Linked DNA regions of Stegostoma tigrinum. Each later gene encodes a partner of the first gene's protein in a complex. Links are inferred from orthologs where the notes say so. Each region holds a gene or a part of one and is shown on either strand. Other genes may lie near its edges.

Region 1 (10,386 bases):
TGGACAAACTGGTCAACATACAGAAAGAGTATCAGGGAATTATTCAGAAAAATGTCTATGAACTGCTCCAAAGGTGCAAAGAGTTGGATTCTGTACTCAATGACAGTAACTTCGAGGAACAGTTTGAAAAGATGTGGAGAGATATAGTAAAGCCACTTCAAGGGATCTCACTCAAAAAACAGAATATTGAAATACAATGAGAAACCAGCTGCAACAAAATCTACATCATCGGGGTAGTGCAGTGTGCCAAAGATTATGTATAGCTGGGAGACTATCTGACAAAGGAAAGGTCTTATTTAAAGTTACCGAGGATCATATTGAAAGGAGCTTTTACCAAAGATTTAAAGACAATTTTTTTACAAATGGATCTAACAATGAACTGCAGAAGTTTGCAGATAATTTAATTAGAAACGCTGAGCAGTTTGCTGAGGAAAAGCTTAAAGCAAAAGTTGACTTTGATCAAACTTACTGTCATACATTGCTGAGACAAACTGATGATAATTTACTCCTTGGGAAATATGGCAACTTTCGCATGATTAATACCTTTGAGGTGGATCTAAAGTTGCATATGTGTGGTCGTGTTCTGCCAATTTTCCAAAAGATGCACCAAGATTTCTTCAGAGAGAATGATCCACTGGCTCGTCTGGAAGAAATGAAGATTGCCTACTATTCCACTTTTAAAGATATTTACAACGAGAAAGATCAGAGTCAGAAAAGGGCTCCAGCTCTGTGGAGCGACTGCCTTCTGCCAGATCTTCACAATGCCATTGACAAAAAGCTTGGTGTGGAGATTGTTGAGGGCGTAAAAGCCAGCTGCACAAACCACGAAATGAGCAGCAGAGCTTATCTCCAAGCTGTGATTCTACTGGACTTGCTGGAAGAGCACTGTGTGGAAAATTACACATAATACATTGAAGACTATGAGGATTTTGCAAGACAGTGGATCAGGAAAAGAATAATAAAGAATTACAGAGAAGCAACTAAAATTATGGAGATCGTCGCAAAAATAATCCGAGCACTTATACAAAAGATAAAAGATGCCATAAAACAAGCAGTAAGTGGAAAGAATCAATTGTGACAGTGAAGGAGAGCGTATCAGAATTTTTAACAGAATTTTGTGATATTTTGAAGAATGATTTTGTGATTAACAAGGGGAATTTGCAAATTGTACTCTTTCAGAATGCTAACACAGCCAGCGAGTTTGCAGCTGATGTCACTGCAGCCCTGGATGATGTCGAGCAGAAACTCATATCAGACTTTCACAAGAATTGCAACATCGAAGAAATTCTGCCACGTCTGCCAGTGCAGCTGGATGAAGAGATCTTCCGTCAAGTTCTTGGCTGCGGGAAGATGTGCCGGTTCTGCGGAGTGTCTTGTGAACAAGGAGGCTCGGGACACAAGGAGCATTTTGCTGCAACACATCGGCCTGAGGGACTAAATAGGTTTCGCCATATTACCAGCAAAAAGCTGGTGGCGACAGTGTGTAATTCTGCAATAGCATCCGATGCTTCATTCCGCTGTGCAGCAACACAATATGAGTTCCATCCATACAAAGGCTACCGCAGCGTAAATGATTATTTTGCTTCCTGGAATATTCCACCTGACACAAGTATCCAAGCATCAGCCTACTGGAAATACGTCCTGTCTACTTTTAATACAGAGTTTTCAGAAGCTTACAAGGCCAAAAAAGCTGACATTCCTGTAGACTGGAAAAATATAAAAAAGGAAACTGTAAGAGCAGAAATTGAGAAAACATACAATATGTTTAGGGTAAAAGAACTGAAATAGTTAGAAACACAGGATGGTCACACGTCCACTTTTAATACCATTAAAAGTATTAACTCCAGTTTTACATGAGGATTCTCATCGTTACTCAGGATTAAATGAGTTAATGAATTACAAAATCACGAAGCAAAGAATTTCAAGGTTGCATGAAGAATGCCAGTGAACTGAACTGTCTAGTCTCCTACAAAAGAGACAGTTGCCAATCTAGGGAGGGATAATGTACTGGTCAATGTTGTCTGAGTGGCTACAGTTTGCTTTAAATATATTTCTTAGATTGTAGTTGAAGTAGCCAGACTAGAAACAATGATTAAATTAGGATAGATTGCAGTAAGTGGAAAGAATCAATTGTCATATTTCTGAACTCTTATTGTATTATCCTACAACACGTGAACATATTCAATAAAGTTTGTTATGCGTTAATTTGTGTCCTGATTAGCTCCTTTTTCTGAGACAACAAGGTGTAGAGCTGGATGAACACAGCAGGCCAAGCAGCATCAGAGGAGCAGGAAGGCTGACATTTCGGGCCTCGACCCTTCTTCAGAAATGCTTTTCTGAAGAAGGGTCTAGGCCTGAAACGTCAGCCTTCCTGCTCCTCTGATGCTGCTTGGCCTGCTGTGTTCATCCAGCTCTACACCTTGTTATCTCAGATTCTCCAGCATCTGCAGTTCCGACTATCTCTCTAGCTCCTCTTTCTGTCCTGTTTGCTTAACGCATTCCTTCTGTTACAAAAATAACTCACAGCTACAATTTAACTACAATTGTTGGGATGTTGTAGACAAGCATGTCCACCCATAATTGCCCTCAAAGTGGTGGCAGTCTGATTACTGAGGGTGAGGTACAGAGAAGAGTTACGAATATGCTGCCAGAAATGAAGAATTTATTTGAGGAAAGACTGGATGAACACAAGAAGTATTCTTACGTATATAGAAATAATATATAAGCATTACATACTGTGTTAAAGTTGATACATTAAATATGAACATAAAAACAACTCACTGATTGATATCTACAGTTAAATTGCTGGATAGTTTTAACCATATCCTTGCTTTTATGCACTTGTTTTCTTTGGACAGAAGAGGCTGAGAGTTGATTTAATTGAGGTGCATAACATTATTTAGATTTATTTAATATTGTCACACTTACCTACAGTGGAAAGTGTTGTTTTGCAAGTTATCCACAACATGTCACCACTCTGCAGTGCCATCTCGGATCTGTTTGCATTGCATGCTTTTACTGCAATAGCTTTGGTATTTTTAGGTTCAGCTGTTCATCTTCTCATTTGGCTCTCCTTCTTCTTTCTCTTTCTCAGCTGCTCCTACAGTTCCTGCTACTTTAACATTGGCTGGGGTCTTGGTAATGGGCTTCTCCACCATATCTGAGTGCTGCTGAGGTCCTGGTTCTGGGCACATCTTCTGCCACTGCTCATGCGGCATATCCGAGCTGGAATGGGTCATGGGCCTGGTGCTACACAGGGCCCTGCCTCTTGCAGAAGGATGTGACCCCAAGGCAACCAAAGAGGGGAGAACAGTGGAGATTGGGAGATAAAAGGAAAGAGACATAATAAAAAAAGGGCCTACTTCCCTTAGCAGACCTGTCAAGAATCCAGAGCTGTAGCAATTTGTTAGATTGGAGAAGAGTTGAGAAGATATTTACCCAGAAAAGTGTGGATATGGAACTCTCCATCTAAAAGTTCTGTAGTGAGGCATAAATTCACTTTGCATTTAAAATAAAATCTTTTTGGATGCGCACTTGAAGCGCTATACGCTACACAGCTATGCTGACAGGGCTGGTAAGAGAAATTAGGCTGGGTGATCCATCTTGGTTGGCACACAGATGATGGGCCATATGGAATCAGTCTGCTCAGTAAAACTCTTGTTTGTGCCTGTCTTTTTGAAATGTCACAGCCCAAGTCATGAAAGTATTCTAGCTACTGCTGAGTTTTGGCGAGTTGCCTGAAGTGCATATTGTAGATGGTATACACACATTGCAGTGGTGGAGGATGTCGATGCTTAATGAGTGTTAATCAGCAGGCTGCTGGTGCTGATAAGAGAGCTTGTACAGAAGCACCTCTCTCTAGAGAAAATGATACTTCACTCCATTTTTGTCTTGTGCATTGGCAGGTCAGTAGCTGAACCTGCAAATTACCACACCTGATCCAGTCTAGCAGCCACATCACATATCTGCCTGATGCAGCAAAGTTTCTTGTGCAGGGTAATCACAGTTTCTTTCCAGTAAATAATAGTAGTGCCATTTAAACATTATGAGTGGAAGGGGTTGGGGTGGGGTGGAGAATGGGCTAAGACAGTATTGGTTATGATTTAGTGTGATTCTGGGGGAACAAAGCAGGCCAGGCAGCATCAGAGGAGCAGGAAAGCTGACATTTTGGGTCGGGACCCTTCTTCAGAAATGGGGTATTTCAAGAAAGGGGTCCTGATCTGAAATGTCAGTTTTCCTGCACTTCTGAGGCTGCCTGGCCTGCTGTGCTCCTCCAGCTCCACACTGTGTTATCTCCAGCATCAGCAATTCTTACTATCTCTCTTGGTTATGAGCTCAATTGGTAGAATCAGCCTGAAAACTTACAGGACATGAATGTAATTTGTCGCTTATCAGGCCAAACATAGATGGTGTCTTTTTCTGCATTAAGGGAAAGAGTGTGTCTTAGGAATGCATTCATGCATGCACTGTTTCGTTAACAAAGGGACTGCAAATGATGCTTTCCAGGCTGCACGAAGGGACTCCTGCTGAAAAGTCTTGGGCTTGAGATCATGATTAGAAATCACAACTATGTTAGACGGAAAGAAAATAGGAGCAAGGGTAGGCTATTTGACCCGTCAAGTCTGCTGTGCCGTTCCTTATGATCACCCAGTGCCCTGTTCTCGCTCTTTCCTGTCCCCCTACCCTTCGTGTCTCCCTGTGTTCTCCGCAGCCACGTAACTTGTACCACTTCAAGTGTGCACCCAGAAGGATTTTATTTCAAATGCGACGTGAGTTTCTGCCTCACGACAGAACTGGTAGGAAGAAGTAGGTATCAACGCTTTTCGGATGGCTTGTGTAGGCGTTCTTCCTCGGCTTTGCGCAGCCCCAGGGTGTGTTTCTTGCGGCTGGCTTTGAACGGGGTTTTTGATGCGGCCCTGTTTGTGGGCACTTTGGGGACGATTGCTACTGTACTTGAGGGCCCTGTCTGTGCCGGTGACCTTCCTGTGTCCATTGGCCTGGGGTTCGCCGTTGGCCTGACGGTTGACCACTGTGCCTGGGAAGGGGGTTCTGTTATTGTTCTGCTCCTCCTCCTTGGTGAATTATATGCCGGCGAGGATGTTGTTTATGGGTTTTCCTCCAGTTTAGAGCGTTTAATAACGACAAAGGTGTCGTCCACACATGGTTTTGGATGGTCGTCCGCTCCACTCGACGCCTTACGGCTTCCGCTATTCACCCTGATACCGGTGATCCCATGGGTTATTCGGTTGATTTGTCCCTGTACCTTGCCGTGGAGCAAATTACTTCACGACGACAAAATTAATCAAGAGAAATAAATCTAAATGGATGTCATGGAAGAGACTGAGGGAACTCAAGCCGATCACATCAGGAGGGCGGGGCCGACCGAAGGGAGACTGACGGCCGGACGGTCCAACCAGAGTGTTGCGGGCCTATCGGTATTCACCAATCGGACGAAGGCAACGCTCTGATTGACGTCCCATCCAACCAAACGGACGGCCACAGGGGCCTTTTGACCAATTGGCTTGGAGGATAGCGGAGGTGGGAAGGGGGGTGGAACGCCCTCGCGGCTAGCGGTTGGGGACGAGGAGGGCGGGGACATGCGCGAAGTGGGAAGGGCGCGCGAGATCAGAAGGCGGGGAGGAGGACGAGTTCCGTTCAATCAATGACGAGAGCGCTGGCGGCTGCATGTCATGTGATATACGGAAGCGGCGTGACGTTGGATCATAGGAGACGGTGATAGCCGGAACCATGGACCAATAGAGGAGACCTACAGTCCAAAGGACGGGGACGAGAAGTAGGCGGGTTATTTGACAGATGATGGACGGCTGTGTCGATCAATCAGCGGTTAGGATGGTCGATACTGTCCAATCGCCTGTGACGGACAGATTTGGGGGTTGTACCCAGGTCATGTGGGACTGTACGTGGTGTGGGTGGGACGCCGGCTCAGTGATGATAGATGGCTATGCTGACCAATCGAAATGAACGGCGTAGCGAAGCCGTCCAATCACCCAGGTCGCGGTGGGTCGTATATGATAATTTGGTTGACTGACAGAGGAACAGACCAATCAGAAACCGTCGACTCCCGGCATAAGCGAACGAGGAACGGTGGGGGTGTGGGAATCTGAGTGTCATGTGACGCGGGCTTTAACCGACGGGCGGAGGCTGAAGACGTGCCCGGGCTCTGTCTCGATGGTGAGTACGAGCTTGTTGGGTAGCGGGGTGGTTTAAAAAAAAACACACACAACATCCACCCGATTCGTGGTGTACACTTTCTCCCGGGGGTGGCTGGAAGCCGTTAACCGCCTGTCACCTGTCATTCCCCGGGTGACTGGGCCCGGGAGGTCACAGGTCACGGCCATTGGCCATTTCCCCCTGTTTTAAAACTAGGACGGGCCCTGGTCTAAAAATAACCCAAACCGCTTGAATTCAAACATTGCAATTTGTCATTTGCACCGCATGGAATCGTTTGCATTGCATTGAACGCGCTGATGATATTCAGCATTTGCTTGCACGCTTTGGGTGGGCGATAGTCAACTGTTTACAAACGAGGGAGGGAGGCAGCTGAAGAGGCGAGATACTTCCATTCTTGAGATGGCGTCTGCCCTGGAGATTCCTGTGGACAAGTTGGGGCGCTATTTCTGGCACCAAACAGTCCATGAATCCAGGCTTGAGGGGCCGAGGGGCCGAATGGCCTGCCCCACCCCCCTCCCTTGTTTCCTATAATCCTAAAATCTTAGGGTATGCCACCACCCTCCTTTCTCACCTTCCCACCCACTTTCTTTTTGTCTGCAGTGTTCAGTGTGTGGCCTTCTGTTGTTGACTTATACATTCAGCAGGTGCCAATCTCTGAAAGTTCCTGCCTCAGAGTAGGTGTGAGGTTGGATTGGGGTGGGATTAGTGTACAGGTAAGAGTGCGGAGATAGTAGGAATTGCTGATGCTGGAGAATTTGAGATAACACGGTGTGGAGCTGGATGGACACTGCAGGCCAAGCTGACGTTTCGGGTCGGGGCCCTTCTTCAACGATTCCATGCGGTGCAAATGACATGGAGAGTGTGGAGAAAGATCAACTCAAATATTGGAGAGGTCTTAAGTCTGATAACAGTGGGGAAGAAGCTGTTCTTTTAAATCTGTTCGTACAAAATTTGTTCTATCTTCTGCCTGATGGAAGAGAGTATAACCAGAGTGGGAGGGGTCATTATGTGGGTTGCTCTCCCGAGGAATTGGAATGTGTGGATGGAGTCAATGGATGGAAGGCTGCCTTGTGTGATGGACTGGACTGTGTTCACAACTCTGTCATTTTTCTTTTGCGGTCTTGGGCAGAGCTGTGATGCATCCAGATAGAATGTTTTCTCTTTTGCATGGGCTGTGGGGTGGGGAGACCTAAGTTTGGTCAGTGATGAGTTAGGTTTAAGTTTTTAATAGCTGTTAGCAGGAATTGGAACAGATTTTTAATCCTCCTAGTTCTTAAAATCAAATCCTGGGTAACTTTTTTAACCTTGAGTAAATCTCAACCTTCTGACTTCTTCAGTGAGCTCTTTCAAAGGGTTCCAAATTGGGAAAATCTGGTTTTCTAGGCAATTCCCACAGAGCCAGGTGCATCTGGGATTTTTGCACAGTCCTAACCTGCAGCTCCAGTCTATGTTGCTGTAGCAAGCATTTGGACATGGGACTACCTGTGTCAGAGAGAACAATAGCAGGTGTAGATTTCCAGGGGTTGGGAGAAAGATGTGACAGCAGTTGATGAGGAATTTTTTTTGTTTAACCTACTATGTGGTGAGAATCTGTAAACTGCTGTCTGTTAGGCTGGTCTAGGCAGAAAGCCTCATCACGTTTCTAAGAGATACTAGAATGTACACCTGAAGCAGCACAACCTGCAAGACTACAGACTGAAAGACTGTGAGATTGGCGATGACTTCTAAATGTTCCCTCAACTCTTTGACCACTCTTTTGGTCATTCGGTTAACATCCCCTCTGTTAGCTTGGTGAAAGACAGCGCTTTATAAAGCGTTATGAAGCACCATGAGATGTTTTATCGAACTCTGAAACAGTTACAACATAGAAAGAGGCCTTTCAGCCCATTGCATCTGTGCTGGGTCTTGCCCAGACACCTCCCCTCCCTTGTCTTTTTCCCCGTGAACCTGCATTATTTGCCCTGTCCTCTTTGAAAGCCGCGACGCTGCCAGGTACCACGTTCCCAATCCCAACAACTTGCTGCGTTTTTACGAAAGAAAGTTTCCTTTCCTTTCCTTTCCTACATCGCTCGTCCTTTTCCCAGTCTCTCTCGGTCTCCATCTGACAGAGAATGTGAGGAAATATAGGAGCAGGAGCAGGAGAATGGGCTGAATGGCATCAAGCACTGCTATTCACCTCAATCTTGGCTGAATCTCCACCTCAACCGATTTCCCGACACTATCCCAGTAAATAAAGTTATAAGAAACAGGAGCAGGACTGGGCCGTCAGGCCCCTCAAACCTGCCCTGCCATTCGATTAAAATCATGGCTGATCTTTTCGTGGACTTACTTGCCCGCTCACCATAACGCTTAATTCCTTTACTGTTTAAAACTCTTAATTTTTGCCTTAAAAACATTCAACCATGTACCCTCAACTACTTCTCTGGGCAGGGAATTCCACAGATTCACAACCCTTTGGGTGAAGAAGTTGCTCCTGACCTCAGTCCTAAATCTGCTTCCCCCATTATTTTGAGACCATGCCCCACACGTTCTAGTTTCACCTGCCCAGTGGAAACAACCTCCCCACTTCTATGTCATCTATTCCCTTCATAACTTTATACGTTTCTGTCAGATCCCCCTCGTTCTTTTAAATTCCAATAAGTACAGTCCCAGTCTAATCAATCTCTTCTCATAAGACACAGGAGTGGAAGTAAGACCATTCGGCCCGTCAAGTCCACTCCACCATTTAAATCATGGCTGATGGGCATTTCAACTCCACTTCCCTGCACTCTCCCCGTAGCCCTTGATTCCTTCTGAGATCAAGAATTTGTCGATCTCTGCCTTGAAGGCATCCAATGTCCCGGCCTCCACTGCACTCCGTGGCAATGAATTCCACAAGCCCACCACACTCTGGCTGAAGAAATGTCGTCTCATTTCAGTTTTAAATTTACCCCCTCTAATTTTAAGGCTGTGCCCATGGGTCCTAGTCTCCCCGCCTAACGGAAACAACTTCCTAGCGTCCACCCCTTCTAAACCATACATTATCTTGTAAGTTCTATTAGATCTCCCCTCAACCTTCCAAACTCTAATGAGTACAATCCCAGGATCCTTAGCCGTTCATCATATGTTAAACCTACCATTCCAGGGATCATCCGTGTGAATCTCTGTTGGACACGCACCAGGGCTAGTATGTCCTTCCTGAGGTGTGGGGCCCAAAATTGGACACAGTATTCTAAATGGGGCCTAACTAGAGCCTTACAAAGCCTGAGAAGCACATCGCTGCTTTTATATTCCAACCCTCTTGAGATAAACGACAACATTATAGTCGCTTTCTTAATCACGGACTCTACCTGCAAGTTAACCTTTAGAGAATCCTGGACCAACACTCCCAGATCCCTTTGTACTTGTGCTTTGTGAATTTTCTCACCGTTTAGAAAATAGTCCATGCCTGTATTCTTTTTTCCAAAGTGCAAAACCTCGCATTTACTCACATTGAATTTCATCAGCCATTTCCTGGACCACTGTCCTAAACTGTCTAAATCTTTCTGCAGCCTCCCCACCTCCTCAGTACTACCTGCCTGTCCACCTATCTTCGTATCATCAGCAAACTTCGCCAGAATGCCCCCAGTCCCTTCATCCAGATCATTAATGTATAAGGTGAACAGCTGCGGCCCCAACACTGAACCCTGCGGGACAACACTCGTCACCGGTTGCCATTCCATTCAAGAGCCTTTTATCCCCAACACTCTGCCTTCTGTCAGACAGCCAATCCTCAATCCAAGCCGGTAGCTCACCTTGAACACCACGGGCCCTCACCTTGCTCAGCAGCCTCCCGTGAGGCACTGTATCAAAGGCCTTTTGGAAGTCTAGATAGATAACGTGGGTTTCCCTGGTCTAACATACTTGTTACCTCTTCAAAGAATTCTAACAGGTTTGTCAGGCACGACCTCCCCTTACTAAATCCATGCTGACTTGTTCTAATCTGACACTGCACTTCCAGGAATTTAGAAATCTCATCCTTAGCAGTGGATTCTAGAATTTTACCAACTACCGAGGTTAGGCTAATCGGCCTATAATTTTCCATCTTTTGCCTTGATCCTTTCTTAAACAAGGGGGTTACAACAGCAATTTTCCAATCATCTGGGACTTTCCCTGACTCCAGTGACTTTTGAAAGATCACATCCAAAGCCTCTGCTATTTCCTCAGCCACCTCCC
Region 2 (9,538 bases), on another chromosome or scaffold:
CCCTCTCCCCCCCCTCCCCTCTCCCCCCCCTCCCCTCTCCCCCCCCCTCCCCTCTCCCCCCCTCTCCCTCTCCCCCCCCTCTCCCCTCTCCCCCCCCTCCCCTCTCCCCCCCCTCCCCTCTCCCCCCCCTCCCCTCTCCCCCCCTCCCCTCTCCCCCCCCTCCCCTCTCCCCCCCCCTCCCCTCCTCTCCCCCCCTCCCCTCCCCTCTCCCCCCCTCCCCTCTCCCCCCCCTCCCCTCTCCCCCCCCTCCCCTCTCCCCCCCCTCCCCTCTCCCCCCCCTCCCCTCTCCCCCCCCTCCCCTCTCCCCCCCCTCCCCTCTCCCCCCCCTCCCCTCTCCCCCCCCCTCCCCAACCCCCCCCTCCCCAACCCCCCCCTCCCCAACCCCCCCCTCCCCAACCCCCCCCTCCCCAACCCCCCCCCTCCCCAACCCCCCCCTCCCCAACCCCCAACCCCCCCCTCCCCAACCCCCCCCTCCCCAACCCCCTCCCCCCCCCCCCCCCAACCTGACCTTGGCTTCAGTTCTTGAGCAGTGCTGCTCCTAGGGTGTGCTGAACTGTTAGAGGTGCTGTCTTTTGGATGAGCCACCCACCCAACCCTTTCTCTGGGAATAATATTTGGAAGAGGAGCAGCAGAGGTCTCAGCAGTATCGTCCTGATTGTTCACTATCAAATTCGCATCACTGTGTGAGGACTTACTTCAGTCGTTGTTGTACAGATGTTTGTCGAGTTTGCTGTCAAGAAGTTGTCTGCTCTGTTACATTATCTTTGTTGCTCCACAAGTACTTGTAATCTAAACAGCAATGTCCTGATTGAGGATGTTGGAGATAGGCTCTGTCATGCTTTCAGAGAAAGTTGGATAATTGGAGAATAAGTGTCTCCTATTGTGGGGAACATGTAGGGAAATGCAATTACTCCATACAAAAGCAGTTGGTATGGCCAGGCAAATGGACTTTTGTAGATAACAAAGTGTGAAGCTGGGTGAACACAGGCCAAGCAGCATCTTAGGAGCACAAAAGCTGACGTTTTGGGCCTAGACCCTTCTTCAGGGGGATAAAAAATAAACCTTTTTTTCTGAAGAAGGGTCTAGGCCTGAAACGTCAGCTTTTGTGCTCTTAAGATGCTGCTTGGCCTGCTGTGTTCACCCTGCCCCATACTTTGTTGTTTTGGATTCTCCAGCATCTGCAGTTCCAATTATCTCTGATATTAAGTGGACTTTTGTGCTGAGTTTTGATTCTGTGACTTTTAACTGTGTACGTTACAATAGCGAGACTTCAAAAGTATGTTAGGTGCTGAAAAATTTTGGGAGACATCCTGAGGCCATTCTTTCAAGTATCCTGTTCTTCCAACAAATCTCCAAATGTAGTAACTTTCTCCTCTTCCCCACTCACCAGTGATTTTTAAATGTTGCTGACCCACTCAGCAGAAAAAAACAGCCATCCTGTGAGATGTTTGAGATAGTGAGATGTGTTGCTTTTGCTTTCGCTTCATCTTCACTGTCAGACCACCACAGTGATGGAGATTCCCCCAAAGAAAGGAATTAAAAGCAGTTTTCCCACCATTCTCTACAGCTTTAGTTTTAGCTTTCAGGTTTGTGTATTTGGTAAGTATTAATGTCTTTGACAATCTTTGAAATTGTACTGAAATGTCAAAAGTCCAAAGTCAGGAAATCAAAAAAATGAAGCAGTAATGGACTGCAGAAAGACAAAGACCTATAAAATGAGTAGACAGTGACAACTAAAATTTAACAAAGGGGGACTACTTTCCTGGGAGTGACCTTTTTATAGGGGTTTGTAAAACAATGCGGGGCCCTGTTATGGTGAATAGCCAAGGTCTTTTCCCTGGGGTAGAGGAGTCCAAAACTAGAGGGTGTAGGATTAAGGTGATAAGGGAAAGATTTAAAAGGGACCTTAAGGCTGTGAGTGTGTGGAATGAGCTGCCAGAGGAAGTGGTGGAGGCTGGGATAATGACAGTATTTAAAAGGCATCTGGATGGGTGTATGAATAGGGAGGGTTAGAGAGAGATAGGCTAAATGCTGGAATTGGGACGAGATGAATTCGGGGTATCTGTTTGCCCTGGGTGATTTGAACAGAAGTCTGTTTCCATGCTGTACAGCTCTATGACTGTAGAATGGCAATATAAAGCTAGTACAATTTCAACAACTGTTAAATTTTTTTGGAAGGAACAGTGACACCTTGGAGGGAGTACATATATCATTGAGTGGAAGAGCAAGTGCAGCCAAAGTACATTCAAAGTTTGACCGTGCAAAGAGGCAATTGGTAGAAACACTAAACATTTTTAAAAAGTCCCAATCCTAGGTAATATACTTTTAGAAAGGGTGCTAAAGTTTTGGAATTACAGACGTCATAGAGTTGTACAGCATGGAAATAGCCTGTTTGGTTCAGCTGGTCTGTGCCAACTAGATAACCTACACTAATCTAGTTCCACGTGCCAGCATTTGGCCCATATCCTTCTAAACCGTTCCTATTCATGTATCCATCCAGATGCCTTTTAAATGTTTAATGGTACCAGCCTCCACCACTTCCTCTGGCAGCTCATTCCATGTGTGCATCATCCTCTACACGGAAACTTTGCCCTTTAGGTTGTCCTTAAATCTTTCCCACTTCACCTTAAACCTATACCCTCTAGTTTTGGACTCCCCTAACCTGGGCAAAATACCTTGGCTGTTCACCCTATCCATACCCTTACAATTTTATAAACCTCTATAAGGTCACCCTCAGTCCAGGGAAAATAATCCCACTCTATTCAGCCTTCCCCTAGAGCTCAAAGCTTCCAACCCCAGCTATGTCCTTCTAAATCTCTCTGAACCCTTTCAAGTTTCGCAACATCCTTCCTGTAGTAGGGAGACCAGAGTTGAACAAAGTATTCTAAATGGTCGAACCAATGTCTTGTACAGCCGCAACATGACCTCCCAACTCCATACTCAATGTACTGACCAATAAAGGCAGGTGTATCAAATGTTGCCTACGTTATTCTGCCTTCATCAGTCTTTGCCACTTCAAAAAAAAGCTCAGGCAAGTTAGTGAGACATGATTTCCCTCGCGCAGACATGTTGGCTATCCCAAATTGGTCCTTGCCTTTCCAAACATACGTAAATCCTGTTCCTCAGATTCCCCTCCAACAGCGCACCTACCACTGACATCAGGCTCGCCGGTCAGTAGTTCCCTGGCTTTTCCTTGGAGCTAATCTTAAATATTGACACCACGTTAGCTCACCCACAGCTATTGATGGCAGCAGAGTTCTGGTGTACACACCGAATCAGGTTCTGGGGATTCATCTGCCTTAAGACATCCAGCACCACGACATCAGTAATGTGAAACTTGGTGTTAAGCATGATAGACTTCATGATGGAGAAGCTGGGGAATTTCTTCAAGTAGAAAAGGTTAAAAGTTGATTTGACTGCAATTCCGATTCCACTCAAGTCTTGAGCTTGTGATTGACAGACAGTCCCAATGCAGTGCGAACGGAGTGCTGCACTGTCGGAGGTATATCTTTTGAATGAGACAAAGTCAAAATACAGTCTTTACCCTCAGGTCAGGCAACTCTTGAGGAATAAGAATTTAGAAATTAGTTTCAGATCAGGGGATTTCTATTCTGATGGAGAAAGAGAAAGAGGTTCTTTTACAAAATGTGTTTGGGTTTTATCATTTTAAGAATTCAATGGCTTGGTAACATATTTCTCAAAAGCAGTTTATGTTATCGTTTTCTTATCAGTGGTGGCATAGATTATAACAGTGGGGGGTGTTCAAGTTGGAGCTGTTCAGAATTTTTGATAGGCCATAGCTGCAGTTCTGGTCACCTCGTAGGATGTATTTATGCTAGAACAGGTACAAAGGAGATGCACCAGCATGTTGCCTGGAAGGGAGCACTTCAGCTGTGAAGAGAGGCGAAATGAACTCTGGTTGTTTCCTTTGGAGCAGAGAAAGTTGCGGGGGGGGGAATGCTGGGGGAAACATTATAGAGGTGTATAAGATTATAAGGAGCATGGACAGAGTGGGTAGAAAGCAGCTGTTCCCCTCATTTGAAGGGTTAATAACTGGGTGGGGAGATGCATAAATTTAACATGTAAGGCTCGATGTTCAGAGGGGATTTGAGGAAAAGCTTTTTCACCCAAAGGGTGTCTAGAATGCACTGCCTGAGAGGATAGTTAAGGTGGGAAGCCTCAACCTTTTTAAAAAGAAATTAGATGGGAGTTTGAAGTGTCAAACACTTTAAGGTTATGGATCTTGTGCAGGAAAGTGTAGGTAGTATATTTCTAGCAGGACAGACATGATGGGCCAAATGGCCTCTTCTGTACTGTATGATTGTTCTTCAATATCCAGGGACATTGCATGCTCGGCAAATTCTTTGTTGCCCTAGGAGTTGGTCACTTTCATACAGTTGCACATTGTAGATTTTAGAAAACTATTTGGAGTAATTGTATCAGAGAGAATGCGAACTGCAGATGCTGGAGAATCTGAGATAACAAAGTGTGGAGCTGGATGAGCACAGCGGGCCAAGCAGCATCTCAGGAGCACTTTTGAAACTGTCATTCTGTTAGCTGAATAACTTTAGGACTGAAAAGTGTATTAGTGCAAAATGAAGTGAAAGCTCCCCTAGTTGTATGTGTCTTTAGTAAAATGCGTTCAGGAAGCAGGGATTTGAATGGTGAATATGGTGGCTGAAGCATGTGGGAAATTCAGCAGCAACATCAAACCATTGGATGCAGAATATATTCTGTTGTTCAGAACTAAATATTCCGATTTTTCTGATATTAAAAATTTTACATTCCTTCACTCCACATGCTCTGTTATAGCATGTTTAATTAGCATATTAAATTGAGCATGCCTTTGCTTATTTTAGTAAGTATCAAAAGATAAAGCCCCGTTTAACACAGGTTTTATGGTTTTGTTTCAGAATTGAGTTTTCTCTGCAACATTTTAAAGAAAGATGGCAGATGTAAGTAATCCTTTCTTAATTACGAAAAAATTGCGTATACTGTTAGGCTACCTATATTGTAGTAAGTTTGAACAGCATATGGAAAATGCCTTCTAATAATTAAGCTGACTAGTACAGTAAATATGATACTACAGTAAGTCATGCAGCCAGTTTCGTAGACAAGGTTCTGTTTGCATCTAAAAATGTAGTGAATAGCATCTGTGGATCCCATGAGCAAGACGTTCTCTTGTTTTATTTCCTAATTATTCAAAAATTAAAATATTAGGCTGTCATCTTCTGTTGGTCTATTTAAGCTTGCTTTGAGCAGAGTTTTCTACAGTGTGCATGCGACTATTGGGCCTGATACCCATAATGCGAGGTTGAAATTTATTTATTGAACATGTGAAAGTTTAATGTGGGTGTGAGTCTTTCCTCTTAGCCTCCTTTCAGCACAGCCTTTGAAAGAGGAAGGTATTATTTTGTGTATATAGGATCTTGCTGTTGAATACTTCATGCGTGAAGGTGAGTGTTAAATAACTGTAACCAGTTGAGACTGGCTTGAATTAAATTTGGATGCAGTTGACATTTTTAAACAATTAATTAAAAATAACTTCATGGCAGTTCTAACTGCCAACTGTTACTGGCGCAGTTAAAGGTTTGAACTTCAATTCATATTCAAGTTGAAAATGTGCAGTATAATTCTACATTTTTACTGCATTCTTCTAATGTGTGTCTTTTCTACAGGATTTGAAGAGATATCTTTACAAACAGTTGCCTAGGTGAGAATGTAAAATAACCCTTCCTCCTCTTCAATCTGTTTCAATTTCTGACTCTCTTCTTTAGATAAGTTTAGACTAGTAACTTTATGTCCAAAATACACAGTAATTCCTCTACTATTACACTGTATATTTCTTAATCGCAGATTTTTCACTCTTCCTTTTATCTTCTAATCTCCTCTTTCCTACAAGTCTGTAATATTATTTCTGGTTGAATAGCAAATATCTTTTCAATATCAATAAATAGCAAAAGAACTGCAGATGCTGTAACTCTGAAACAAAAACAGAAGTTGCTGGAAAACCTCAGCAGGCCTGGCAGCATCTGTGGAGAGAAATCAGAGTTAACGCATTGGGCCCAGTGACCCTTCGTCAGAACTGATAGTAGCTAGGAAAGTGTCGGTTTATGTGCAGAACAGCGTATGTGGAAAGGAGCATTTGATAGTTGGGGATAGAGCTCAAAGACACTAGAACAGTTGAACAGACAAAGGAGTTGATAACAGTCAGGCTGGGAGGGTGAATAGCTGTTAATGGGGACTGTTCGTGACTAACAACAGGTAGTGTGTAATGGCAGGCTATGGGGCTAGGACCTGGGAGAGCTTCTTTTTCTTAGATTAGATTCCCTACAGTGTGGAAACAGGCCCTTCGGCCCAACAAGTCTACACTGCCCTTTGGAGCATCCCACCCAAACTCATCCCCCTATAACCCCCACACCCCTGAACACTACGGGCAATTTAGCATGGCCAATCCACCTAATCTGCACGTCTTTGGACTGTGGGAGGAAACTGGAGCACCCAGAGGAAACCCACGCAGACACGGGGAGAACGTGCAAACTCCGCACAGACAGTTATCTGAGGCTGGAATCGAACCTGGGTCCCTGGCGCTGTGAGGCTGCAGTGCTAACCACTGAGCCACCATGCCACCCAGTTCAGACCTTAAAATTGTTGAATTTGATATAGAGTCCATAGGGTGGTGTTCTTCCAGTTTGTGTTGAGCTTTGCTGGAACACCGCAGTAAGCCTGCGACAGTATTGATAGTTGCTTCCAAACATATGTCTGTTAAGTGGCATTTGGCAATTTCCTCACTATCTCCCACTTCAAGTTGTAATATGCTAGACGTTGTTTCATCTGCAAGTGCCGATGGGTTACTATTGTTGGAAAGCCAGCTTGGAGATGTCTCTAAACCAATGATCAAGTGTGGTGAATGTGCCGTGTAGATATCAATGTTAAACAAACACAATGGGGCATTGTGTGGCAGTTGCTGAGTTTGCCTTCAAACTCAGGCCACGATTAGTTCTCTGGCTCTGTCCTATTTTATTTATGGTAATCTTGCTTTATAAGCTCAGTTGAAAGACTAGTCTGTCACCATCTTGACCTTAATTCTTGGTTTTGCAGCTAATGTATATCAATCAAGAATCTTAGAGGGTTGGTCTCATAACAGAAGCTGCACTTTGCAATCTAAAAGGGTAGCAGTACGGTTACGAGGTAGATAAGACATGTCTATTTGATGCAAGTTAGCCCAGGTTATTTTCTGTGGCAACAGTCAATGCGTCTTTGAAGATTTGAGCTGGTCAGTTGACATTCTAAAGCAGTGTCTGATTCAGTAAGTTGTTCAAACTTTTGTTTAGTTTTAGGTCTTCAAGACTTCATTGTAAAAGTTTTTTTCTTATTGTTCCTAACGCACTTGCTGCTATTGTTCTAAAGAAACTTCATTTTTAATGTGTAATTCCTAAAGATGGTACATGGGTGACATTTATCCAAAATGTAGACTCCACTAATGGTGGTGTGCCATTATTTTGTTACGTCAGTTTGATGAATAAATACCATTTGTTGAAATGTGAGCTGTTTAATTTTGTTAGCATAAGCAAAAATAAATATGTTGAAGGTATGGATTCAGAGAATGGTATTAAAAGTGACACTGCTTTAATGCGGACAAGCTCTGTGTAAATGTAATCTCTTTTAAATATGACAGCCTTAAATTGCTGTGTAGCTATTGCAGTATGGAGTATATATATTGTTTCCTTACTAGCTGTACCGCTACAATTAGGATCTCCCATGGTGAGTGCGTGTTTGACATAATGGCTGTGAATTTGTAACCGATTAATTTATAAGGAATGGAAATTGATTGTTATCACATTGACATGAATACATGGCATAATTCTGCACAGCCATTTTAGATCTAAAATCAGACTTAATAGACAGGATGTAAAAATGTTTTATACACAGGTATTGCATGAAATAAGAAATTACATGATGTTTGCAAGAGATGAATAGTGAACAAATCTGAACAATAATTGTGTTCAGATGAGTCATACAGCACAGAAACAGACCTTCAGACTAACTCATCCATGCCGACCAATTTTTCCCAAACTAAACTAGTCAGATTTGCCTGCATTTGGCCCAAATCCCCCTCAACTTGTACAAATATCTTTTAAATGTTGTAACTGTACCTGCATAAACCTCTTCCTCAGGCAGTTTGTTCCACATACAAACCGCCCTGTGTGAAAATGTTACCTTTTGGGTGCCTTTTAAATCTTTCCCTTCTCACCTTAAAATTATGCCCCCTACTTTTGAACTCCCCTACCCTGGGGAATAGGCTTTTACTATTCACCTTATCTATACCTCTCGTGATTTTATAAGCTTTTATAAAGTCCCCCCCACAGGCTCCTAGATTCCAGTGAAAAGAATCCCAGCCTATCCAACCTCCAAACTCAAACCCTCCATTCCTGATAATATCCTGGTAAATCTTTTCTGAACCATCTTCACTTTAGTAATATCCTTCCGAGAGCAGGTAACCAGAAATGTACACAGTTCTCCAACATCCTGTACAACCGCAAAATAATGCCCCAATTACTGGATTCATTGGTCTGGGCAATGAAGGCAAGCGTGCCAAATGCTGCTTTTCCCACCCTGTCTACCTGTGCCACAACTTCCATGGAGATGTTGGCTTCTGGGATATGTGGGTTTTGCTGAATTTTCAAAGAGCTTCAGGAAGCCAAGGAAATGTTAAAATATTTAAAGAATTTTTTTTGTTAATGCTCAACATTATTGTGAAATTGGATTCTCAGTACTGTGGGTGTTCTCATTACAATCTTACAACAGAAAACTTCCGTGTAATTTCAGTGCTTGCGCTATTTTGAATTCCAGTGCCAGTGTAGAGATGCAGCGTGAATAATTTCTGCATAATTTTTTTACAGTGTTGAGGGCCTTCATGCCATTGTGGTATCTGACAGAGATGGAGTACCTGTGATTAAAGGTAAGTCATAGCTGCTCAGTAAACCTACTCTTACACACAATTATCAGTAATTGCATCATGTTCCTGAGGATTGCACTCTTAATTTGAATTGGTTCCTTGTTTGGAAGATCTAATACAATCCCCCACATTTCAACCTAAGCGATACTGGTTCATAAATCCCATTCCATTAACTTTAAAGCGCACTAGGTATGGATTTCAACTTTGACAGCAAGTGCAGTACTGTTATTATAAATGCATTTATGTGGTGTCTCATTTCCTTGGTGCTTTGCAACTAATTAGCTACTTTTGAAATAGCCATTATGTGAGAGGTACAGAAAAGTTCACAGCTAAATAACTTGTGTTGTTCGAGGGAGAACTATTGGACAGGAGGCAGGAAATCATAGAATCCCTACGATGTGGAAGCAGGCCGTTAGCAATAGTGAACAAATTTGGCCTATAGAGTTTGCACTGACCCTCCAAAGGGCATCCCACCCACTACCCTATCCCTATTACTCTGGATTTCCCACAGCCAATCCACCTAGTCTGCACCTTGGAGCACCCAGAGGAAACCCATGCAGACATGGGGACAATGTGCAA
Region 3 (10,069 bases), on another chromosome or scaffold:
AAAAACAAGAGGGACAGGCTCATGAAGACTGAAAGGGTGACCAAAAATTTAGTGATGAAGTTCAAGGGCATAGGTAGGTCACTTGTCATTGTTTACAAAGGAAAATAAATGCTGCCAGAGAGTAAGAATGAAAAAAAGAGAAGACAGTTGTGACAAAACAAGCTAAAATTGATGAAGAGGAAGTATTAGAAGTCATTTACCAGGACGAGGTATGTCCACAATCAAGGAGAGAAATAAAGGAAATTGCAGACAGTTGCAATAATCTTCCACCCCTCTAGATACAGGGGTGTTGCCAAAGGACTGAGGAACTGTAAATGCTACACCCTTGCTCAAGAAGGGACTTAAAGGGAAGTCCTGCAATTACTGGTCAGTTATCTTAACACTGGAGGTGGGAAAGCTATGAGAAACAATAATCCAGCACAAAATTAACACATTCAGGACACTGTGGATAAATTAGGAATGCTGGCAGAATTTGTCAAAGGCAAATTGAGTTTTGTTCTGATAAAACATCAACTCTTCCTCCAGAGATGCTGCCAGCCCCAATGAGCATTTCCAGCAATTTTGATTTTATTGTGCATTGACTTATTTGAGGTTTTAAAGAGGTGACAAACAGGGTCAACAGCTACACAGACTTCAAAAAGGAATTTCAATGAGTGCTACAAAACACAGGCTGGTCAGCAAAGTTGATGCCCATGGAATAAAACAGGCCACAGATAAATGGAAGACGGTATGTGGCCTCCTCTACATTGGTGAGACCAAGCAGAGGCTCAGAGACCACTTTGTACAGCACCTGCGCTCTGTTCGCGAGAAACGACAACACATTCCAGTCTCGAACCACAAACACCCCCTCCCACCCCCTGGACAACATGTCCATCCTGGGCTTCCTCCAGCGTCACAATGACACCACCCACAACCTGGAGGAGCAGCACCTCATTCCACCTCAGCAGCCCATAGCCCAATGGCCTAAACATGGCTTTTACCAGTTTAAAATTTCCCCACACTCCGGCCGCATCCCATTACCAACCCTCCCTCACATCCCTGCCTCCTTGACCTGACACAACCTTCGTCTTCTCTGCCACCTATCTGCTCCTCCTCCCAGCTCACTGACCAATCTCCACCACTGCCTACCTGCACTCACCTATCACCAGCCCACCTACCTTCCCCTACCTCACTCCAACCCTTCCTCTCTATTTACTTCCCAGCTCGCTTCCCTCTCTGCCATTTCGGAAGAAGGGTCTCAACCCAAAACGTCAGCTTTCCTGCTCCTGTGATGCTGTATTCCTCTACCACCACATGTTATCACAGAAAAATAGATACAAGTTCAGCTGAGTGACAGCAAAGAGGGTTTAACGGTGAACAGTTCTATTGTGTCTTGGAAAGTGGCTCATGGTGGGAATTCCCAGGGTCAGTCCCCAACTACTGCTTTTGACACATTTAGAGTTGTTGACTTCGCTGCCTTGAGCAAAATTTCAAATACTGCGTATGATTCAAACCTTGCAAACACCAAATTGTGGAGGATAATGATGGAATTTATGAGAAAGCAAACAGTGAAATAGCTTCAAGAAGCCAAGTTGCCCACAATCAGCTCCTAATGTGTATGAAAGAAAGCTTTCTTACACAAGAAGTGGTTAGGATCTGGGAGACACAGTATAGTGGAGACAGATTCAATCACGTTTTTCATAGGACGACCAGATGTGCACTTGAAGGGGCAAGGTTTACAGTGCTATGGGGAAAAGATGGTGGAGTCCCACAGACTAATATCTTCTTCCAGGGAGAAGGTATAGACACAAATGACCGAATGGACTCTGTACTATAACCTTTCTAATGATTAAGAATAGATAAAATAGGTAGATTGGTCATGAAGCTTTTAAAGTTTGCTCCATTATTTGTCGAGATCATGGCTGATTCACTACACCAACACCATTTTCCTGCAAATTACATATCATCTGCAACATCTTTAATATTTAGAAATCTATCAATTTGTGCATTTAATCATTTTATTCACTTATTCTGTGGGCATTGTTCGTTGGGACAGCATTCATTGCCCATCCCTCCATTCTCAGTGACCTGTCCCTTAGTCGGAGATACTTTCCCCTGGATTACACCCTAGAGTAGAGAGAAACTTTTTTTACATCTATTCTGTTCATCCTTATAAAAAGGATTTTCTAAGTTTCACCTTTCATTCTTCTAAACTCCACAGCATACTCAGTCTCCTCAAACTCTCCTCACAGGACAATCTCAACATCTTAGCAATCTATCCTGTGACTCTCCACTGCACTCCCCCTGTGTGCATCCTTCCTTCAATAAGGAGAGAAAAACTGTACATGAACAGTTAAGGTAAAGTCTCATCATAGCTCTATACAATTAAAGCAAGGCAGGCATCTTGACTCCTGTAATCTAATAATCTTGTTATAAAAGGTGAACATACTATTATTGTCATAATTACTTGCTGTACCTGCTTGAGATCAGTAAATTATGAACAAGGATATGAATAAGTTTTCCTCGGGCTTCACCACTTCAAGCCTGTTCCGAACTTGGTGGAATTCCTACTTTTTGTTGGGTTTCTCAACAAGGCCAGTTATGACTCCATGGATAGTGTCCTACCTTCTGTCAGAAGAATGTGCTTCCAGTCCCTCTCCACATCATTGAATATAAAATCAGTCAATGACCCAAGAGCAGTAATCAGAGAGTGATGCATTCAGTAACACCACCTTTTAGGTGAAATGTTAAACCAAGGACCAAGCACAATAAAAAAAGTTTTCTGGCCATAATGAAATTCTCGTGAGGAATCTTAGCATACACAAATCTGGTCTCATTTCTTATCTTGCAATGGTGACTACCTTGGAGGAAATGCTTCATTTGTGTCACAGAAATACAAAAACTGCTTAGTCATAGACAGTTGACAGGACAGAAAAAGGCCATCCGGCCCATCCTGTTTGTGCTAGCCAATCACCACCTGGCCGAACAATATATTCTAGCATTAGGCAATCTTTCTTTAGTTTCACTGAAACAAGTAAATCACACCACATCCTGGTTTTGGGAACTGTAGATGTCCAAGACAAGAATTTGAAACTCTTGTTCAGCAGAATTAGAGTATAATAAGTGAGTGACATCAGCTCTGCAAGGCAACAATGAGCTGATTTGAGATAATGGGAATGGGAACTACAGATGCTGGAGAATCCAAGATTACAAAGTGTGGAGCTGGATGAACACAGCAGGCCAAGCAGCATCTCAGGAGCACAAAAGCTGACGTTTCAGGCCTAGACCCTTCTTCAGAGAGGGGGATGGGGAGACGGAACTGGAATAAATAGGGAGAGAGGGGGAGGCAGACCGAAGATGGAGAAAAGAAGATAGGTGGAGAGGAGAGTATAGGTGGGGAAGTAAGGAAGGGATAGGTCAGTCCAGGGAATACAGACAAGTCAAGGAGGCGGGATGAGGTTAGTAAGTACAAAATGGAGGTGCGGCTTGAGGTGGGAGGGATAGGTGAGAGGAAGAACAGGTTAGAGAGGCGGGGACAAGCTGGGCTGGCTTTGGGATGCACTGGGGGGGGAGCGGAATAACTGGGCTGGTTTTGGGATGCGGTGGGGGGAGGGGATATTTTGAAGCTGGTGAAGTCCACATTGATACCATTGGGCTGCAGGGTTCCCAAGCGGAATATGAGTTGCTGTTCCTGCAACCTTCGGGTAGCATCATTGTGGCACTGCAGGAGGCCGATGATGGGCATGTCGTCAAGAGAATGGGAGGGGGAGTTAAAATCATTTTAACTGGTGTGTGGTTAACCCCACACACCAACCCCTCCAATCCAGGATAATGGCAAAGGGGTGGCGGGGGGGTTAACCCCGCACACCAACCCTCCAATCCAGGATAATGGCAAAGGGGTGGCGGGGGGGTTAACCCCGCACACCAACCCTCCAATCCAGGATAATGCAGGGGGAGGGGGGATTAACCCCACACACCACCACACCCCCCAGGCCAAAAGGAGGGGTCAGGCTGCACCACACCAGCCCTGAAGGGACTCAATGAGTTTCCAGGTGATTTTGCCGGGTGTTTTAAGGAGAAGGCGGACGCGGGGATTATACTGAAGGGTGATCCTCACCTGTTCACTGCTGTCGCCCTCACTGCTATAACAACAGCCCATGGTGGGAACCAGAGGAGCGCAGGCCGCGGGCTCCCTATTTACACCATCACATGATCGGGCCTAGCAACCATTGCGTCACATCCGACCCGAACTGTCAATCACCCGGACGAGCGCCCAACTGCCGACGTCATCTCCGCCGCAGACTGTCAATCATCGCTAGCCCCTCAATTCTCAACCGTTTTGGTCTGTCGATCATAATGGGAACCGCCCCTCTATGACATCAGATCCGGTTGGTCTGTCAATCATCCTGTGCCATTTTCTCGTAAATTGATCCTCAGTTGGGGTCAGAGTTCAAGCCTAGTTGCCTATTCGGCCCATTGTGTCTGTGCTATCTCTCCCCATGAGTGATTCCTGCAGCTTCTTCCTGTTCAGATAATGATCCCATTCCCATGTGAAAACCTCTGGATGCTGATTGATTGTTTGTTACGTGTGCTGAATTACAGTGAAAAGCTTTGTTTACCAGTGGTACAGGCAGATCATGGTAAGCAAGGATGTACATACAGATCAAAAAGACTTGGACAGAGGCATAGGGGTTACACAAGGCTTCAGTGCGAAAAGCGGCCCTCCACCACTACCCTCTGTCACTTACCTTCAGGACAATTTTGTTTCCAAATGGCTAGTTCTCCCTGGATTCTATGTGATCTGAAGATCTTGATCAAATCTCTCAACCTTCTCTTCGTTGTAGACAGTTCCAGCAGTTTTTCATCAGTTGATCCTTTTTTTTATCCACTCCCCTCATGAGGACAGTCAAGAATCAGCCACGTTGCTGTGGGTTTGGAGTCACATGTTAGCCAGACTAGGTGAGGATGGCAGTTTCCTTCCCTAAAGGACATGAGGGAACCAGATTGGTTTTCCCCAACAATCAACATCATTCGACTGTAAGAGGGTTCTCTAGCTATCCAAACAAACTCATAAAATTCAGACCTGCTCCTGCTTGGTCACATCTCAGCACTTTGTGCTTTAGACACTGTTCGCTAACTCACACAGGGACATGGACAGTTACTGATTTCTCAGGATTGTTAGCTTTGCAAAATGCCCATGTGGAAAAATGCCAAGATCCCATTATAGTGAAAATCCAGCCATCTTTTTTTCCTGTTCATTAACTGATCCTCTATCCATGAGAATATGTCATTCCCAATACCATGCGCTCTTATTTTGTAAAGTTACGTAGAACATTACTGCACAGTACAGGCCCTTCGGCCCTCAATGTTGTGCCGACCTGTCATACTGATCTGAAGCCCATCTAACCTACACTATTCCATGTACGTCCATATGCTTGTCCAGTGACGACTTAAATGTACCTAAAGTTGGTGAATCTACTACCATTGCAGGCAAAGCGTTCCATTCCCTTACTACTCTCTGAGTAAAAAAACTACCTCTGACATCTGTCCTATATCTTTCACCCCTCAATTTAAAGCTATGCCCCCTCGTGCTCGCCATCACCATCCAAGGAAAAAGGCTCTCCCTATCCACCCTATCTAACCCTCTGATTATTTTATATGTCTCAATTAAGTCACCTCTCAACCTTCTTCTCTCTAATGAAAACAGCCTCAAGTCCCTCAGCCTTTCCTCGTAAGACCTTCCCTCCATACCAGGCAACATCCTAGTAAATCTCCTCTGCACCCTTTCCAAAGCTTCCACATCCTTCCTATAATGCGGTGACCAGAACTGTACACAATATTCCAAGTACAGCCGCACCAGAGTTTTGTACAGCTGCAGCATAAGCTCTTGGTTCCAGAACTCATTTCTTGCAGTTGCTTCTTGGGTGGACAGTCAAAATAACAAGTTGTTGTAAATGACAGCTTGTGGTGGTCTCCAAAGGCCTGTTCAAGTTCTGGATGTGAGTTTGCTCGCTGAGCTGGAATGTTAGTTTTCAGACGTTTCGTCACCATTCTAGGTAACATCATCAGTGAGCCTCCGACAAAGGCTTCGTCGGAGGCTCACCGATGATGTTACCTAGAATGGTGACGAAACGTCTGAAAACGAACCTTCCAGCTCAGCGAGCAAACTCATATCCAGAAACTCAACCTGAGCTACAAATCTTCTCAAAACTCACCTGTTCAAGTATCACTTTTTTTAATTGCTGTTTAAAATTAATTTGTTGATTGAAAACTTCATAATCTATCAATGTTGCCAAGACAGTGATGAGGCTACGTCTCGACTCAGGCAGACACAGGATCACAGAATTGTTATTGGCATGGAAGGAGGCCATTCAGCCCATCGTGCCTGCACCATTAAATGAACAATTAATAAATCTGGAATCTTGACTAGTGATGGTGTTCATGGAACTATTATCAATGGTCATAAAATTCCAGTTGGTTCACGAATGTCCTTTCAAGATGTGGTCTGCCTTTCCCAGTTTGGCCTATGTGTGGCTCCAGCAACATGATTAAGTGGTGGGTGCATGTCAGTTTAAGGAGTTATAGAATCAGACAGTACAGGACCTTCGGCTCTTCAAGTCTATACTGCCAAAGGTCACACATTTATGACAGAGATGAGGAGGAGAGAGAGGTTTGCAGATTGGGCAGGTGTACAAGGTAATGAGAGGCATAGATAGATTCGGTAGCCAGAGACTTTTGCACAGAGCAGGATTGACTGCCACGAGGGGTCATAGTTTTAAGGTATTAGGAGGAAGGTGTAGAGGAGACGTCAGAGGGAGGTTCTTCACCCAGAGAGTTGTGAGCGCATGGAATAGTTTACCAGTGGTAGTCGTGGAAGCAGAGTCATTAGTGACATTTAAGCGACTGCTGGACATGCACATGGACAGCAGTGAATTGAGGGGAATGTAGGTTAGGTTATTTTATTTTGGGATTAGGATTATTCCATGGCACAACATGGTGGGCCGAAGAGCCTGTACTGTGCTGTACTTTTCTATGTTCTATGTTCTATAAGTGACAGATAGAATTTTTCTTTGCTCTACACAGGATGTAAGTGTTGTTGGTCAGTCCACAGCATTTCCTGTTTCCACACTGAAGGGATTCTATGATTTATGATAAGATCATAAGATGTAGGAGCAGAAATAGGCCATTCAGTCCATTGGATTTGCTGTACCATTCACTGAGATTGTGGCTGATCTGATAATCCTCAAATCCACATTCTCGCGCTTCCCCATAACCCTCAAATCTCTTACTGATTAAAAATCTGTCTATCTCAGCCTTGAACGTACTGAATGACCCAGCCTCAACAACCCTCTGCAAGAAAGTATTCCACAAATTCACTACCCTCAGAGAGAAGAAATATCAACTCTCATTTTCTCTTTCTCTCATCTGATGAATGTTTTTAACATTGTTTCTTGTTGCTGCATTTAACCTGCATCTGACCTCGGGTGAAATCTTTGAGGGTTCTGAATGATGTGGACTCAGACCCCTAGGTACCAGGGTAACTCACAAACCAGCAACCACCCTGCGACAGCTACTGACGAACATAAAGGACCCCGTACTGACAACCAATAAAACTAACATAACATACAAAAAACCATGACTGTGAAAAGCATTACATTGGCTAAACTGGAAGAAAACTGATATTAAGGAGATATGAACACCAACTAGCCACCAAGAGACACGACCTATTCTCACTTGTCTCATACTTCACAGACAAAGAAGAAGACAAATCTGACTGGGACAACACATCCATATTAGAGAGAGTAGGAACTGCAGATACTGGAGAATCTGAGATAACAAGGCGTAGAGCTGGATGAATACAGCAGGCCAAGCAGCATCAGAGGAGCAGGAAGGCTGATGTTTCGGGCCTAGAGCCTTCATCAGAGAGGGGGGGATGGGGTGAGGGTTCTAGAATAAATAGGGAGAGAGGGGGAGGCGGACCGAAGATGGAGAGAAAAGAAGATAGGTGGAGAGAGTGTAGGTGGGGAGGTAGGGAGGGGATAGGTCAGTCCAGGGAAGACGGACAGGTCAAGGAGATGGGATGAGGTTAGTAGGTAGATGGGGGTGCGGCTTGGGGTGGGAGGAAGGGATGGGTGAGAGGAAGAACAGGTTAGGGAGGCAGAGACAGGTTGGACTGGTTTTGGGATGCAGTGGGTGGAGGGGAAGAGCTGGGCTGGTTGTGTGGTGCAGTGGGGGGAGGGGACGAACTGGGCTGGTTTAGGGATGCAGTGGGGGAAGGGGAGATTTTGAAACTGGTGAAGTCCACATTGATACCATTAGGCTGCAGGGTTCCCAGGCGGAATATGAGTTGCTGTTCCTGCAACCTTCGGGTGGCATCATTGTGGCACTGCAGGAGGCCCATGATGGACATGTCATCTAAAGAATGGGAGGGGGAGTGGAAATGGTTTGCGACTGGGAGGTGCAGTAGTTTGTTGCGAACTGAGCGGAGGTGTTCTGCAAAGCGGTCTCCAAGCCTCCGCTTGGTTTCCCCAATGTAGAGGAAGCCACACTGGGTACAGTGGATGCAGTATACCACATTGGCAGGTGTGCAGGTGAACCTCTGCTTAATGTGGAATATCATCTTGGGGCCTGGGATAGGCGGAGGGGGGAGGTGTGGGGGCAAGTGGAGCATTTCCTGCGGTTGCAGGGGAAGGTGCCGGGTGTGGTGGGGTTGGAGGGCAGTGTGGAGCGAACAAGGGAGTCACGGAGAGAGTGGTCTCTCCGGAAAGCAGACAGGGGTGGGGATGGAAAAATGTCTTGGGTGGTGGGGTCAGATTGTAGATGGCGGAAGTGTCGGAGGATGATGCGTTGTATCCAGAGGTTGGTGGGGTGGTGTGTGAGAACGAGGGGGATCCTCTTTGGGCGGTTGTGGCGGGGGCGGGGTGTGAGGGACGTGTTGCGGGAAATGTGGGAGACGCGGTCGAGGGCGTTCTCGATCACTGTGGGGGGAAAGTTGCGGTCCTTGAAGAACTTGGACATCTGGGATGTACGGGAGTGGAATGTCTTGTCGTGGGAGCAGATGCGGCGGAGGCGGAGGAATTGGGAATAGGGCATGGAATTTTTGCAGGAGGGTGGGTGGGAGGAGGTGTATTCTAGGTTGCTGTGGGAGTCGGTGGGCTTGAAATGGACATCAGTTACAAGCTGGTTGCCTGAGATGGAGACTGAGAGGTCCAGGAAGGTGAGGGATGTGCTGGAGATGGCCCAGGTGAACTGAAGGTTGTGGTGGAAGGTGTTGGTGAAGTGGATGAACTGTTCGAGCTCCTCTGGGGAGCAAGAGGCGGCGCCGATACAGTCATCAATGTACCGGAGGAAGAGGTTGGGTTTGGGGCCTGTGTAGGTGCGGAAGAGGGACTGTTCCACGTAACCTACAAAGAGGCAGGCATAGCTGGGGCCCATGCGGGTGCCCATGGCCACCCCCTTAGTCTGTAGGAAGTGGGAGGAGTCAAAAGAGAAGTGGTTGAGGGTGAGGACGAGTTCGGCTAGGCGGATGAGGGTGTCGGTGGAGGGGGACTGGTCGGGCCTGTGGGACAGGAAGAAGCGGATGGCCTTGAGGCCATCTCCATGCGGAATGCAGGTGTACAGGGACTGGACGTCCATGGTGAAGATGAGGTGTTGGGGGCCAGGGAAACAACTTCTCTATTGACTCCTCCCACTTCCTACAGACTAAGGGGGTGGCCATGGGCACCCGCATGGGCCCCAGCTATGCCTGCCTCTTTGTAGGTTACGTGGAACAGTCCCTCTTCCGCACCTACACAGGCCCCAAACCCAACCTCTTCCTCCGGTACATTGATGACTGTATCGGCGCCGCCTCTTGCTCCCCAGAGGAGCTCGAACAGTTCATCCACTTCACCAACACCTTCCACCCCAACCTTCAGTTCACCTGGGCCATCTCCAGCACATCCCTCACCTTCCTGGACCTCTCAGTCTCCATCTCAGGCAACCAGCTTGTAACTGATGTCCGTTTCAAGCCCACCGACTCCCACAGCTACCTAGAATACACCTCCTCCCACCCAACATCCTGCAAAAATTCCATCCCCTATTCCCAATTCCT

What was found.
Region 2: lamtor4 (region 1) and lamtor3 share a complex: the UniProt entries of both Homo sapiens proteins name them as parts of the ragulator complex. The link is inferred for Stegostoma tigrinum from reciprocal best matches to the Homo sapiens genes LAMTOR4 and LAMTOR3.
Region 3: lamtor4 (region 1) and lamtor1 share a complex: the UniProt entries of both Homo sapiens proteins name them as parts of the ragulator complex. The link is inferred for Stegostoma tigrinum from reciprocal best matches to the Homo sapiens genes LAMTOR4 and LAMTOR1.

Annotation. Positions count from the first base shown.
Region 1 is NC_081398.1:4,438,544-4,448,929, reverse strand, and holds the start of lamtor4 (ragulator complex protein LAMTOR4), read left to right. Parts: upstream 1-6,063; 5' UTR 6,064-6,189; coding exon 6,190-6,192; intron 6,193-10,386. UniProt on the Homo sapiens protein: As part of the Ragulator complex it is involved in amino acid sensing and activation of mTORC1, a signaling complex promoting cell growth in response to growth factors, energy levels, and amino acids.
Region 2 is NC_081354.1:4,149,910-4,159,447, forward strand, and holds the start of lamtor3 (ragulator complex protein LAMTOR3), read left to right. Parts: upstream 1-4,911; 5' UTR 4,912-4,946; coding exon 4,947-4,955; intron 4,956-5,678; coding exon 5,679-5,713; intron 5,714-8,903; coding exon 8,904-8,962; intron 8,963-9,538. UniProt on the Homo sapiens protein: As part of the Ragulator complex it is involved in amino acid sensing and activation of mTORC1, a signaling complex promoting cell growth in response to growth factors, energy levels, and amino acids.
Region 3 is NC_081359.1:110,906,374-110,916,442, reverse strand, and holds the start of lamtor1 (ragulator complex protein LAMTOR1), read right to left. Parts: upstream 4,233-10,069; 5' UTR 4,139-4,232; coding exon 4,097-4,138; intron 1-4,096. UniProt on the Homo sapiens protein: Key component of the Ragulator complex, a multiprotein complex involved in amino acid sensing and activation of mTORC1, a signaling complex promoting cell growth in response to growth factors, energy levels, and amino acids.